Linked DNA regions of Caenorhabditis elegans. The protein of the gene in region 1 purifies or fractionates together with the protein of each later gene. This does not show direct contact. Each region holds a gene or a part of one and is shown in the gene's direction. Other genes may lie near its edges. The genes, in order: mtg-1 and cpi-1.

Region 1 (7,059 bases):
GCTGTGAAACCAATTACTGCTAGCAGATAATCCGACTTGTTACTCCAATTTCCTGAAAAAATTTTTTTTTTCACAAAAATTTTTTTTGTTGGTATTTTAGCATTTTTCAATAAAAATTTTGGTTTTTATGGATTTTTTCACACAAATTCGTGTTTTTCACGTCTCCAGCTTCAAAATGACCCCCATCATGCCCTGTTTCCGTGCAATTTGAAAAATTCGGGTCTCGCCACGCGGGGTACTGTAGCACCGGTTTCAGCTGTGTCGAAACTACAAAAGCTCAAAATCAACGTATTCTGGTCATGTTGGGGGTCATTCAAAAGCTGCTGACGTGGCGAATTCAATGAAAACAGTTTGGTGGCCGAGTTTTGGATTTGAAGGCCACCAAATCGAAAAACGTGGATTTTTGTCGCACCTCGTATCCTATTTTCGTCTCCGACACCCGTAATCTCTTCGAATGGATATTCGATGTCACCTTCTCGTGTGTAATCGGGCAATTTTGCGTCGAGCTTGAAAAATTTCAGGGTTTTTTTTGCGAAAAAATCAGTTTTTTCCCTAAAAACTCAAAATTCTCGCTGAAATCTTTAACAAAATGGCGGGAATTGGTCGTTTCCCGCCGTAGATCAAACGGAAATTTGAATTCCCGCCGACCGCGTGGAGCAAGTGCGCTCCAGCGGACTAGTGGCGGGGAATTTGATTTTATTTATTTTTTCGGCAATTTTTCAGCAAATTCAATGATTTTATTGGTTTTAGGACAAAAATTAGTGGAAATTTTCATCAAATTTTGTGGTTTTTTTGGAATTTTTCACAAAAAATCGATAATCATCCAAATTTTTCGGGAAAAACGTCAAAATTATCCGTTTTTCTCGAATTTTCCGAATTTTTCCACAAACCTGCTTAATAAACGGAGGATATAGGCTCATATCCACGTTGTTTCCGCTTGCCATGCCCCGTCCATTCCTCTGCTCCGGATCGTTGCTCGAAACCGACATTTTCGGTGTGGAAAAACTCGGTTTTTCTTGGAAAAATCGATTTTTCGTCGGTTTAAAACCTGAAAATTAGCAATTTTCACGATTTTTTGAGCTATTTAGCAAGAGATTGCGAAGAAAAATACGAATTTTAGAGTAAAAACGAAAGAGAAACGAGGCGACGCGGCGGCCCGTTGTTACACAAATTTCGGAAGCAGTTGGCTCGCCCGAATTGAAAACATACGTGAAAAGCCGGGGAAAACGAATGAAAAAGTGAGAAATTGTGGGAAAATGTGGGAAAAATTAGTTTATTTCAGGAAAAAATTGGCTATAAATCGGTTTTAATGAGTTTTTAGCTGAAAATCAATAATTTTCGGGTCAAATTTTAGATTTTTGGGGTCAAAATGCTGCAACTCACTTCCAGAATTCAATTTTAATTATAAAAATCGAAAATTTTAATGAAAAATTTACGTTTTTCACGAAAAACCGCTCTGGAAAATAAAAATGTTCCAGGTTGCCAATGCAAACGCGCTCCATTGAGAAATCGCTTGTTGGCGGGTGTTTGAAATGGAAATTCTGATGAAATAAATTAAATTGGGTTTGGAAGCATCTTTGTTGGTTGAATAAAGCATTTATTATGAAAGAAATAAGATTTAAACAAAAAAAAACCATTTTTACAGAGAAAATACCAGAAAACACCGGAAATTGTTAGTTTTTTTTTGAATTTTTCAGGAGAATACCAACATTTTAAAACTAATACCGGTGCAAACCGAAAATCCACTAGAAAAACTCTAAAAATCACGAAGACTCCAAAAATCACAGTTTTTCTTGAAATCAAGTTTTTCTCGAAAAATCTATATTTCTCTGGGGAGTAATTTGTGTAGTTTTTGGTGTCAAAATGCGGCTAAAAACATTTTCTGTTTGTTTTTCGCATTTTCAATTGTAAAAAATCCCTTAAAAATGGTGAAAATTAGGATTTTCCAAAGTTATTAAAAATTGACTCTGCAATTGCGCTCCATTGCTACGCATGAGAGAGCAGAGACGCAGAGTACGAATCATGCAATTTCAGGTTATTTTTTGATTTTTTACAGGAAAAAATTGTTTTCACAATTTTTTCTCAATTTTTTTTCAAATTCCAGTTAAAAAATATGAATTTTCGTCGATTTCTGCACACAACATATCGAATTTCCACTCCAGGTACCCGAAAACCCCATTATTTACTCAGTTTTCCGCGCGGAAATCGCAATTCTTTTCAGAATTTCGCCAACAATTCGAACTTCCCGCGCAATATGACTATCGGCAGTGGTTTCCAATGCATATGTCCGTACAATTGAAAAAAATGGAAGCGAAATTGCGATCCGTCGACTTGATAATTGAGGTTTTGCATGGAAAATGGAACTTTTACGATTTTTTTTTTGGAAAATCTGTAAAATCACCGGAAAAACGCTGAAAAACCGAAAAACTGGTGTAAAAAACTGGTGTAAGAATTTTAGTGAATTTTTCCGCCTATAAAAGTTGAAAAATCGGGAAATATTGCAAAAATCGACATTTTTTCCAGGTCCACGACGCCAGAATCCCGATTACCGGCCGAAATCAGCAGTTTTTTCGACATTTATACGCTATTCGACCGCATATTCTCGTCCTGAACAAGTGTGACTTGATAGATATGAAGAAATACAAGTGAGAACCCGGAAAAATTCGAAAAAATCCGGAAAAAACGCTTGAAAAATCAAGATTTTCAGAATTTCTCCGAAAAATTTTGGATTTTTTCGACGAAATTCGGCTTTTTCTCAACGAATTTAGTCAAAAATTGCGATTTTCCGACAAAAATCCACTTTAATCACCTAAAAATTTGAATTCCCGCCGACCGCGCAGTGCAAGTGCGCTCCAGTGGACTAGTGGCGGGAAATTCGAATTTTTGGCTATTTTAGCGCGATTTTTTGCACTTTTTTAACGATTTCTGGGTGAAATTCGACCGGATTTTTATAAAAAATGAAGAAAAATCGATTCTTTTTACCTTTTTTTCGGAAAAAACGCTGTAAAATCCGAAATTTTCTCAAAAATTCCCCATTTTCAGGCACCAAATCGAGGATTATTACTACGAGCGGGGCGTTCAAAAAGTTTTATTCACAGACTGCAAAAAACGGCTTCCAAGGTGATTTTGGAGCTGAAAAATTCAGAAAAATGCATAAAAATTCTGAAAAATGCATAAAAATTCAGAAAAATGCATAAAAATTCTGAAAAATGCATAAAAATTCAGAAAAATGCATAAAAATTCTGAAAAAATCTGAAAAAAGCATAAAAATGCATAAAAATTCAGAAAAATACATAAAAATTCAGAAAAATACATAAAAATTCAGAAAAATACATAAAAATTCAGAAAAATACATAAAAATTCAGAAAAATGCATAAAAATTCAGAAAAATACATAAAAATTCAGAAAAATGCATAAAAATTCAGAAAAATGCATAAAAATTCTGAAAAATTCTGAAAAATGCATAAAAATTCAGAAAAATGCATAAAAATTCTGAAAAATTCTGAAAAATGCAGAAAATTGCTGGAAAATGCCGAAATTTCCCTACTAAACTGCAAATTTCAAGAGCTCTGAACGATGTGAAGCTGTCAATGTTAGACGCTTTGGAGAATACGCCACGTTTCAATCGAACCGTCAAAACAGAATATCAGGCAATGGTCGTCGGAATCCCGAATGTCGGAAAATCATCCCTAATCAACGCGATTCGAACACATACGCTCGGAATTAAGCGTAAAGCTGTGAGAAAATCGCTTCAAGACCCGAAAATTCGAATCGCCCACGTCTCCAGCTTTCAAATGACCCCCAACATGCCCTGGTTCCGCGCATTTTGAAAATTTTTGGGTCTCGCCACGCGGGTTACTGTAGCACCGGTTTCATCTGTGTCGAAAACTTCCAAAGTTCAAAATCAACGGAACCTGGGCATGTTGGGGCTCATTTTGAAGCTGGTGACGTCAGTAATTCAATGAGGAGAAGTTGGTGGCCGAGTTTTGGTTTTCTAGGCCACCAACTTTGAAAACATGGATTTTTACTTAAAAAATCGTTTTTTTCGGTTTTTTTTTGCAATTATTCGAACTTTAACCTAAATTTCAAATTTTGCACTGAAAATTCGTCTAAAAACCCCTTAAAATTGACAAAAATCGTCTGAAAATTCAAAGTCCCGCCGACCACATGTTGCAAGTGCGCTCCAGTGCGAAAAGTGTCATTTTTCTACTGAAAATCTTAAATTTTCACTAAAAATCCTAATTTTTCAATAAAAGTCTCAAAATTACACAAAAATTCCTAATTTTCACTAAAAATTTCAAATTTTCACTAAACATCTCAAAATTTCACTAAAAATCTCAAAATTTCACTAAAAATCTCAAAATTTCACTAAACATCTCAAAATTTCACTAAAAATCTCAAAATTTCACTAAAAATCTCAAAATTTCACTAAACATCTCAAAATTTCACTAAACATCTCAAAATTTCACTAAAAATCTCAAAATTTCACTAAAAATCTCAAAATTTCACTAAAAATCTCAAAATTTCACTAAAAATCTCAAAATTTCACTAAACATCTCAAAATTTCACTAAACATCTCAAAATTTCACTAAAAATCTCAAAATTTCACTAAAAATCTCAAAATTTCACTAAAAATCTCAAAATTTCACTAAAAATCTCAAAATTTCACTAAAAATCTCAAATTTTCAGGTAGAAGCCGGCGCGAGACCAGGAGTAACGGTCCGTGTCCAAAATCGGGTCCGAATTCTCGACAAACCGCCCGTCTACATTATTGATACACCCGGAGTACTATCACCAAATCATCGAAATGTCGAAGATGCTATGAAACTGGCAATGTGTGATTTAGTACTAGAAAGTCATGTTAATTTGTATTATTTGGCTGATTTCTTGCTCTTTTGGCTTAATCGATCGGAGGATTTTTCATATTTGGAGCTGCTGGGAATTAATCAGAAATTCAGGAAAAATTCCGAGAAAAATGAGGAAAATTTAGGTGAATTTTGAGGAAAAAAACCCTAAAGATCGATATTTCTATTGATTTTTCTCGAATTTTGAGTTAAAAATTGAGTTTCTCACTCATTTTTACACCTAGAAATTGCGGTTTTCGCACAAAATAGATTGGTGGCCTACCTTTTGGGATTTCTAGGCCACCATGGTGGTTTCAAACCATTTTTATCGATTTTTATCTCAAATAATGGGGCAATAAAAAGGATTTTAACTGAAAAACCGAAAAATTTTCAGTTTACATTCCTAAAATCCCCGAAAAAACCGAATTTTTTAATTAAAAAAAGTTGGGAAAAATTTTTAATTGATTTTTTTTTTCAAAAACTTGTGATTTTTCACTCTATCAATTGAATTTTGATGAAATATTCAGATTTTCAAATATTTTGGAATTTCAAATTTCAAAATTTTAAATTTCCACAAAAACTCGATATTTCCCCTGTGACTTGTGCGTTTCTCAGATTTCTGGCATAAAAACGAGTATTTATTCACATTTTCAGTCTTAAATTGGGCTGAAAATGTGAATAAATACCGTATTTCTGGCAACAATTTGACAATAGAGCACATTTGTCACTCGGACATGCGGAAGCTATGACGAATTGTCGTAAGGTTCGGACGAATTGTCGTAAGGTTCGGTGCCTAGCAGGTGTTTGCGTACTTTTGGCGCTACCGTACCCCTCGAAATTTAAAAATAGGGTTAGAAGCCCCGAAATAGGTCCCCGCGGTGTGAAATTCAACGGGGAATTCGAATTTTAGTGTGAAAACTGCTGAAAAATCCTGGAAAATTCTGCAAAAAAAAGTTTTCATTAAAAATTCAAAATTTCCAAGTTTAAAATTATTTTTCCTAAATTTTCATGCCAAAATTCGAATTCCCCGCAGGTTTATAGCCCCCTCTGACCGCTTTTTCAGCCAATTCGTGCAAAATTTCGTAAAATTCAGTTTTTGCGTACTTTCGGAGCTACCGTACCCCCCTCGAAATTCAAAATTTAGCTAGGAAGCCAAAAAAATCGAGTTTCGGGTGAAAATCGGCAGTAAAAACTGAGTTTTAGTGAGAAAAAAAACGAATTTTTATCAAATTTGGGCGAATTTGGACGTAAATTTTCGATTTTTTCCAGTGAAAAAACTCCAAAAACCTTTGATTTTTGCAGATATTTCGCCGAAACAGGCTCCAATTGATGATATTCAGCAAGTTTTGGCCCTAACTTGCGCTGCAAATGACTTTAGAATTCAACAAAGTATTGGAGAAAGATGGGATTTTGATCGAGCCGCCAAATATTTCATTCAACTCTACAGAAATCGAAAATTCAAGGATTCTTGCCTCGATAATGAGCATTTTTTGTATCGAAATTAGGAGATTTTTCGTTGATTTTTCATGTTTTTTGTTGTTATTTTTAGAAATATTTGATAAAAACTGCATTTTTAATGATTTTTCCCCATTAAAATCGGCAAAAAACGGGATAAAACCTCAATTGTAAGTAAAAAATTTGAATTCCCGGGCTGCTAAACAACACGCGCTGTGGCGTACTAGCGGAGTGTCGTAGTTTTTGGCGGAAAATTGGATTATCGAGTGGTTTTAAGGCTTTTATCTCAATTTTTTGATATATTTTGCATTAAAAAAAGCTTCTGAACACAGAATTTTGGAATTTTGTAAAAAATATAGTGAAAAAAATTTTTACAAAAAATTTTTTTTTTTTGAAAAACATTTATTTTCAATGTAAAAGTACACAAATAATTATTTATACTCCTTAATTTCTGCATTTTTCTCCAAAAAACTCGAAAATTCAGAAATCAATCGATTTTTCGGCAATTCAAATGTGAATTCCTTGAAAGCAGTGCTATAGCCGATTTGTTTGAATCCTAGTTTCTTCTTGAATAGGCTCAGGCTTGGTGTGTTGTCATCGGTAATTTTTACGCAGAATTGCTCGATTTTCAGATTCTGAAAAATTGAAAATTTTCGAAAAAAATATTTTTTTTGCTCATTTTTCAAAACTGTCAAAAACCATGTCAAAATTCTTATTCTCCTCATTTTCAGCTTCAAAATGACCCCCAACACGACCATAT
Region 2 (3,698 bases), on another chromosome or scaffold:
AATTTATCGATAATTTCAATAATTTCAATAAAAAACTTACGGAAACTGTGCGTGCACGTGATCCCAGGTTGGCTGCGGTGTTTTCGGCGATTCGTAGAAATTATCGTGTGTTGAGTAGGCGAGAGGCATTTCCTGAAATTTCTGAATGTTATTTTCATCAATTATAACAAAAATTACAAGAAATAACAGTGGAAACGAAGAGAAATCGTTGAAAATCGAGAAGTAAAATTTAAAATATTTTTCAATTTGAAAATTTTGTGCATTTTAACGTGGCGGTGTTTGCGTACATTTTGAATTTTCTCATTGTCGACCGTAGTTTTCGGTAATTATTGTGAAAAATCGGATGTTCAAACGAACTTTCGTTTGAACATCCGATTTTTCTACGCGTGGAGATGAGTTGTGTGTGTACTCCACACGGACAAATACATCAGTTTTACAACTAGTTGTAACTAAAAACGAGCCGCGAAGCCACACGCAACGCGCCGTAAATTTACACAAAATCTCTCCGACCCAAAATGCAGCCTAATTCGTAAGGTATTGTTGATTTTTATTTCATTATCTTTTCTTGCTAATTGAAAAAAGTCACATACAAAGCGCATGTTTTATTAAAACAATACTTTTTTCCGATCACATGCTGTTATTTTGATACAGTTTCGGTAGAACTTTTGATTTTAGTCTTTACTTTTAAATCTCGCCGCGATTGTACTGTAAGTGATTAAGATATGTATATTACGGGAACAATAAAGCATGATAATGCGTACTTGGTGCATTTTATTTGACGCGCGATATCTCTTAGCGAAAACTACAGTAAGAGCTTAAATATTTATTGTTATTTGAGTTCTTACTGTAGTTTTCGCTAAGAGATATCCCGGGTCAAATAAAAGCACCAAGTACGCGTTCTCATGATTTCTTGTTCCCGTAATACGGTACGATCGCTTTGAGGAAACTATGGTGTTTTAACAATGACTGTGAATTCTGTCTTTCTTTGACGATATGAAACTTCATGATATTAAACTTCCGTAGCTAATTAACCAATGCGGGATGTTTTTGACCCGGGTGGCCGACAGACAACATTTTAATGGAATGGAAACGACTGCCCGGCTGCCCCAATCACGCAAACCTTGATAACTATTGTATTCTTTCACGTCTCCCAGAGAGCGTAATAAATTATTAATTACCAGCCGTGGACCGCACCTACGGCGCGGCCCCCGACTTTTTTGAGAAAACACATTAGATATACGGTGTCTATCGCGGACCTCGATCGATGTCTGCTGCGCATTTAGCATAAGGTTTCCCAAAATTTCGTCGCTCTGATCAGAGATCAAACTACATAGGGACAGAAGGACACGCGCTTTATATATAGTAAATGATTATTATGTGTTGACTAAGATCGTGGCAAGATCCACACGGAAAACATCGTGTGGCTTTATAAAATCATGTGAAGGTAAAATTCGCTTTTCTAAAAATAAAGTTCTTCAGTTCTGAAAGATTGGAACAGCCCTTCATTTAAAACAAGTTCACTTAACTTGAATGTGAAACAGTAAATTATTTATACAAAATTTTGTAAATATTTTTTGAACTAAAACGTAGTTTTGAACTCATGCCTTGTTACTTCATTTTCAGAAGCTCTGGAATTTCTATCATTGCTTTCAGGTGCAAAAAAACTCTGCAAGAATTCCTGAAGCGGCACTTTTTTCCAGAAAAACAGAACATGCAAAAGTCGAAAATAATTTATGAAATGATATCATCATATTCAGTTGTAAACAAACTTTCCAAAGGAAGATAATGAGTCATAGCTGTTGCAATGATCGATTCTTTCTCTTTTTTCAATCAAATTGTTGATCTTTAGCTGTCTCGCTCTTATCACTCACCAACTGACTCTTATAAAAGCAAACGAATGTTGACATATTTTGTGACAAAAATAAAAATGCGTTTCATTCTTCTTATCGCACTTGTTTTCGCTGTTCTTGACGGAATAAATTGCCAAATTGCTGGTGGATTGTCTGATGTGAATGCCTCTGAGTATACTGTAAGTTTTACTTAGGCTTTTTGTTGAGAAAATGCTCATTTTGTGAAGATTTCTTATATTTTTTAAAACTATAGTTGATACTTACTCTTAGGATACTTAGTCCGGTTTACTATAATTTTAATTTCTTTCAATATTCGATAAATTCATTTTTTTAAACAAAAAAAACTGGAATAAAAATTTAGCGCTTTGAAAAATTCAATTACGACTCAAAATGCTTATAAAACAAATTAAAATTAAGAGTTTTAATTTCAAAACTGCTATTCAAAACTAATTGGCACTTCGCGCAAAATTTTAATAAATGTCTACTGGTTGAACAGTATCATTTAAAAATTTTGTGCACAAATGTAAACTGTGAAACAGTGAAAAAATTCATATTTCGAAAAAAGATTTTGGTTACCGTAATTTTCAATTTAAAATATATATGCACTTTTAGTTATGAGTTTTCAGGGAGCAGCTTGGAATTCGGTGCCGGAAATAAACAGTAAGAATAATGGACAAAACTACATGGTTCCAATTAAGGTAGGTTTACTCCTCAGAGGCAAAAAATGCTGTTCAAAAAATAATACTTTGCGCTTTTATAACACTCTTATTTAGGTTGTTAAAGCTCAAGTTCAAGTTGTTGCCGGAACCAATACAGTTTTGGAAGTTCTTGTTGGAGAGTCAACTTGTCCGAGACAAGGATCAGTTCAAGCTTCTCAAGTCACTGCTGCAAATTGTCCATTGAAGTCTGGTGGCAAGCGTGAACTTTACAAAGTGTCCATTTGGGAGAAACCATGGGAAAACTTCAAGCAAACTAAGGCTGAAAAAATCAGAGGTGTGAAACCTGATGAAAAAATTTAAATTAAATCTGGTGAATGTATTCTTGCTTTCTGTACTATTTTAAAAAATTGCTAATAAAGAACTTTGGTTTTTGAAAATAGTTGCTGCGTTACGTACTTTTCTTTCCAGCTAAAACCCTAATATACATCTGAAGAAAATATTTTTTGAAATTATATCATTATATTCCGTTGAAAATCAATTGTCCATGGGAAGACAATGAGTCATACCTGTTGCGATGATCGATTTTTTTTTGAATCAAACCCTTGATCTTTTGCTGTGTCCTGTTCATCACGCACTCCCTCTCACTCCTATAAAAGCAAACGAATGTTGATATACTTTGAGACAAAAATGCGTTTTATTCTTTCTATCGCACTTCTTTTTGCTGTTCTTGATGGAATGAATTGTCAAGTTCTTGGTGGATTTTCTAATCTGAACGCTTCCGAGTATACCGTAAGTTTTCTTTTTGTAGTGCATTTTAAAATTGTGCGTTGGAAACTTTTAAAGCTCAGAAATTGGAATAATTTGAGTTTCTTAATTTAAAAGCGAAACTATCACTCGCGCTACGTTCTTTCCAATAATATAAGTAGATTGAAACAGTAGTCGAATTTTAAGAATTTTCGTGCATTTTGAAACGAAGATTATATAATTGGTATTCTTCCTTTCCTAGTATAGTTTTTAATTACATGTTTTTATTGAGATGTTCAGATCAACGTTTAAAAAAACTATTTATTGTGCATTTTCAGGGAACTGCTTGGAAATCGGTACCGGAAATAAACAGTAACAGTATTGAACAAAACTATATGGTCCCAATTAAGGTTTATTTTTGGTGGAAAGCGTGAACTTTACAAAG

The links.
Region 2: the proteins of mtg-1 (region 1) and cpi-1 fractionate together in Caenorhabditis elegans (co-fractionation; one large-scale study listed by BioGRID). This does not show direct contact.

The regions. Positions count from the first base shown.
Region 1 is NC_003281.10:1,531,780-1,538,838, forward strand, and holds mtg-1 (CP-type G domain-containing protein), read left to right. Parts: upstream 1-2,102; 5' UTR 2,103-2,113; coding exon 2,114-2,162; intron 2,163-2,221; coding exon 2,222-2,343; exon of another isoform or gene 2,344-2,445; intron 2,446-2,523; coding exon 2,524-2,645; intron 2,646-3,042; coding exon 3,043-3,120; intron 3,121-3,565; coding exon 3,566-3,737; intron 3,738-3,893; exon of another isoform or gene 3,894-3,943; intron 3,944-4,689; coding exon 4,690-4,990; intron 4,991-6,146; coding exon 6,147-6,349; 3' UTR 6,350-6,419; downstream 6,420-7,059. Other genes in the region: snf-6 (Sodium-dependent acetylcholine transporter), read right to left, coding at 1-52, 413-506, 891-989; Y67D2.5 (N-acetyltransferase 9-like protein), read right to left, coding at 6,731-6,934.
Region 2 is NC_003282.8:6,091,847-6,095,544, reverse strand, and holds cpi-1 (Cystatin cpi-1), read left to right. Parts: upstream 1-1,912; 5' UTR 1,913-1,927; coding exon 1,928-2,029; intron 2,030-2,321; exon of another isoform or gene 2,322-2,343; intron 2,344-2,476; coding exon 2,477-2,548; intron 2,549-2,623; coding exon 2,624-2,869; 3' UTR 2,870-2,942; downstream 2,943-3,698. Other genes in the region: K08B4.7 (Cystatin), read left to right, coding at 3,197-3,298, 3,592-3,687. UniProt on the Caenorhabditis elegans protein: Cysteine protease inhibitor which inhibits members of the peptidase C1 family. Does not inhibit asparaginyl endopeptidase. May play a protective role against exogenous cysteine proteases derived from soil bacteria or fungi, or rotting fruits and vegetation.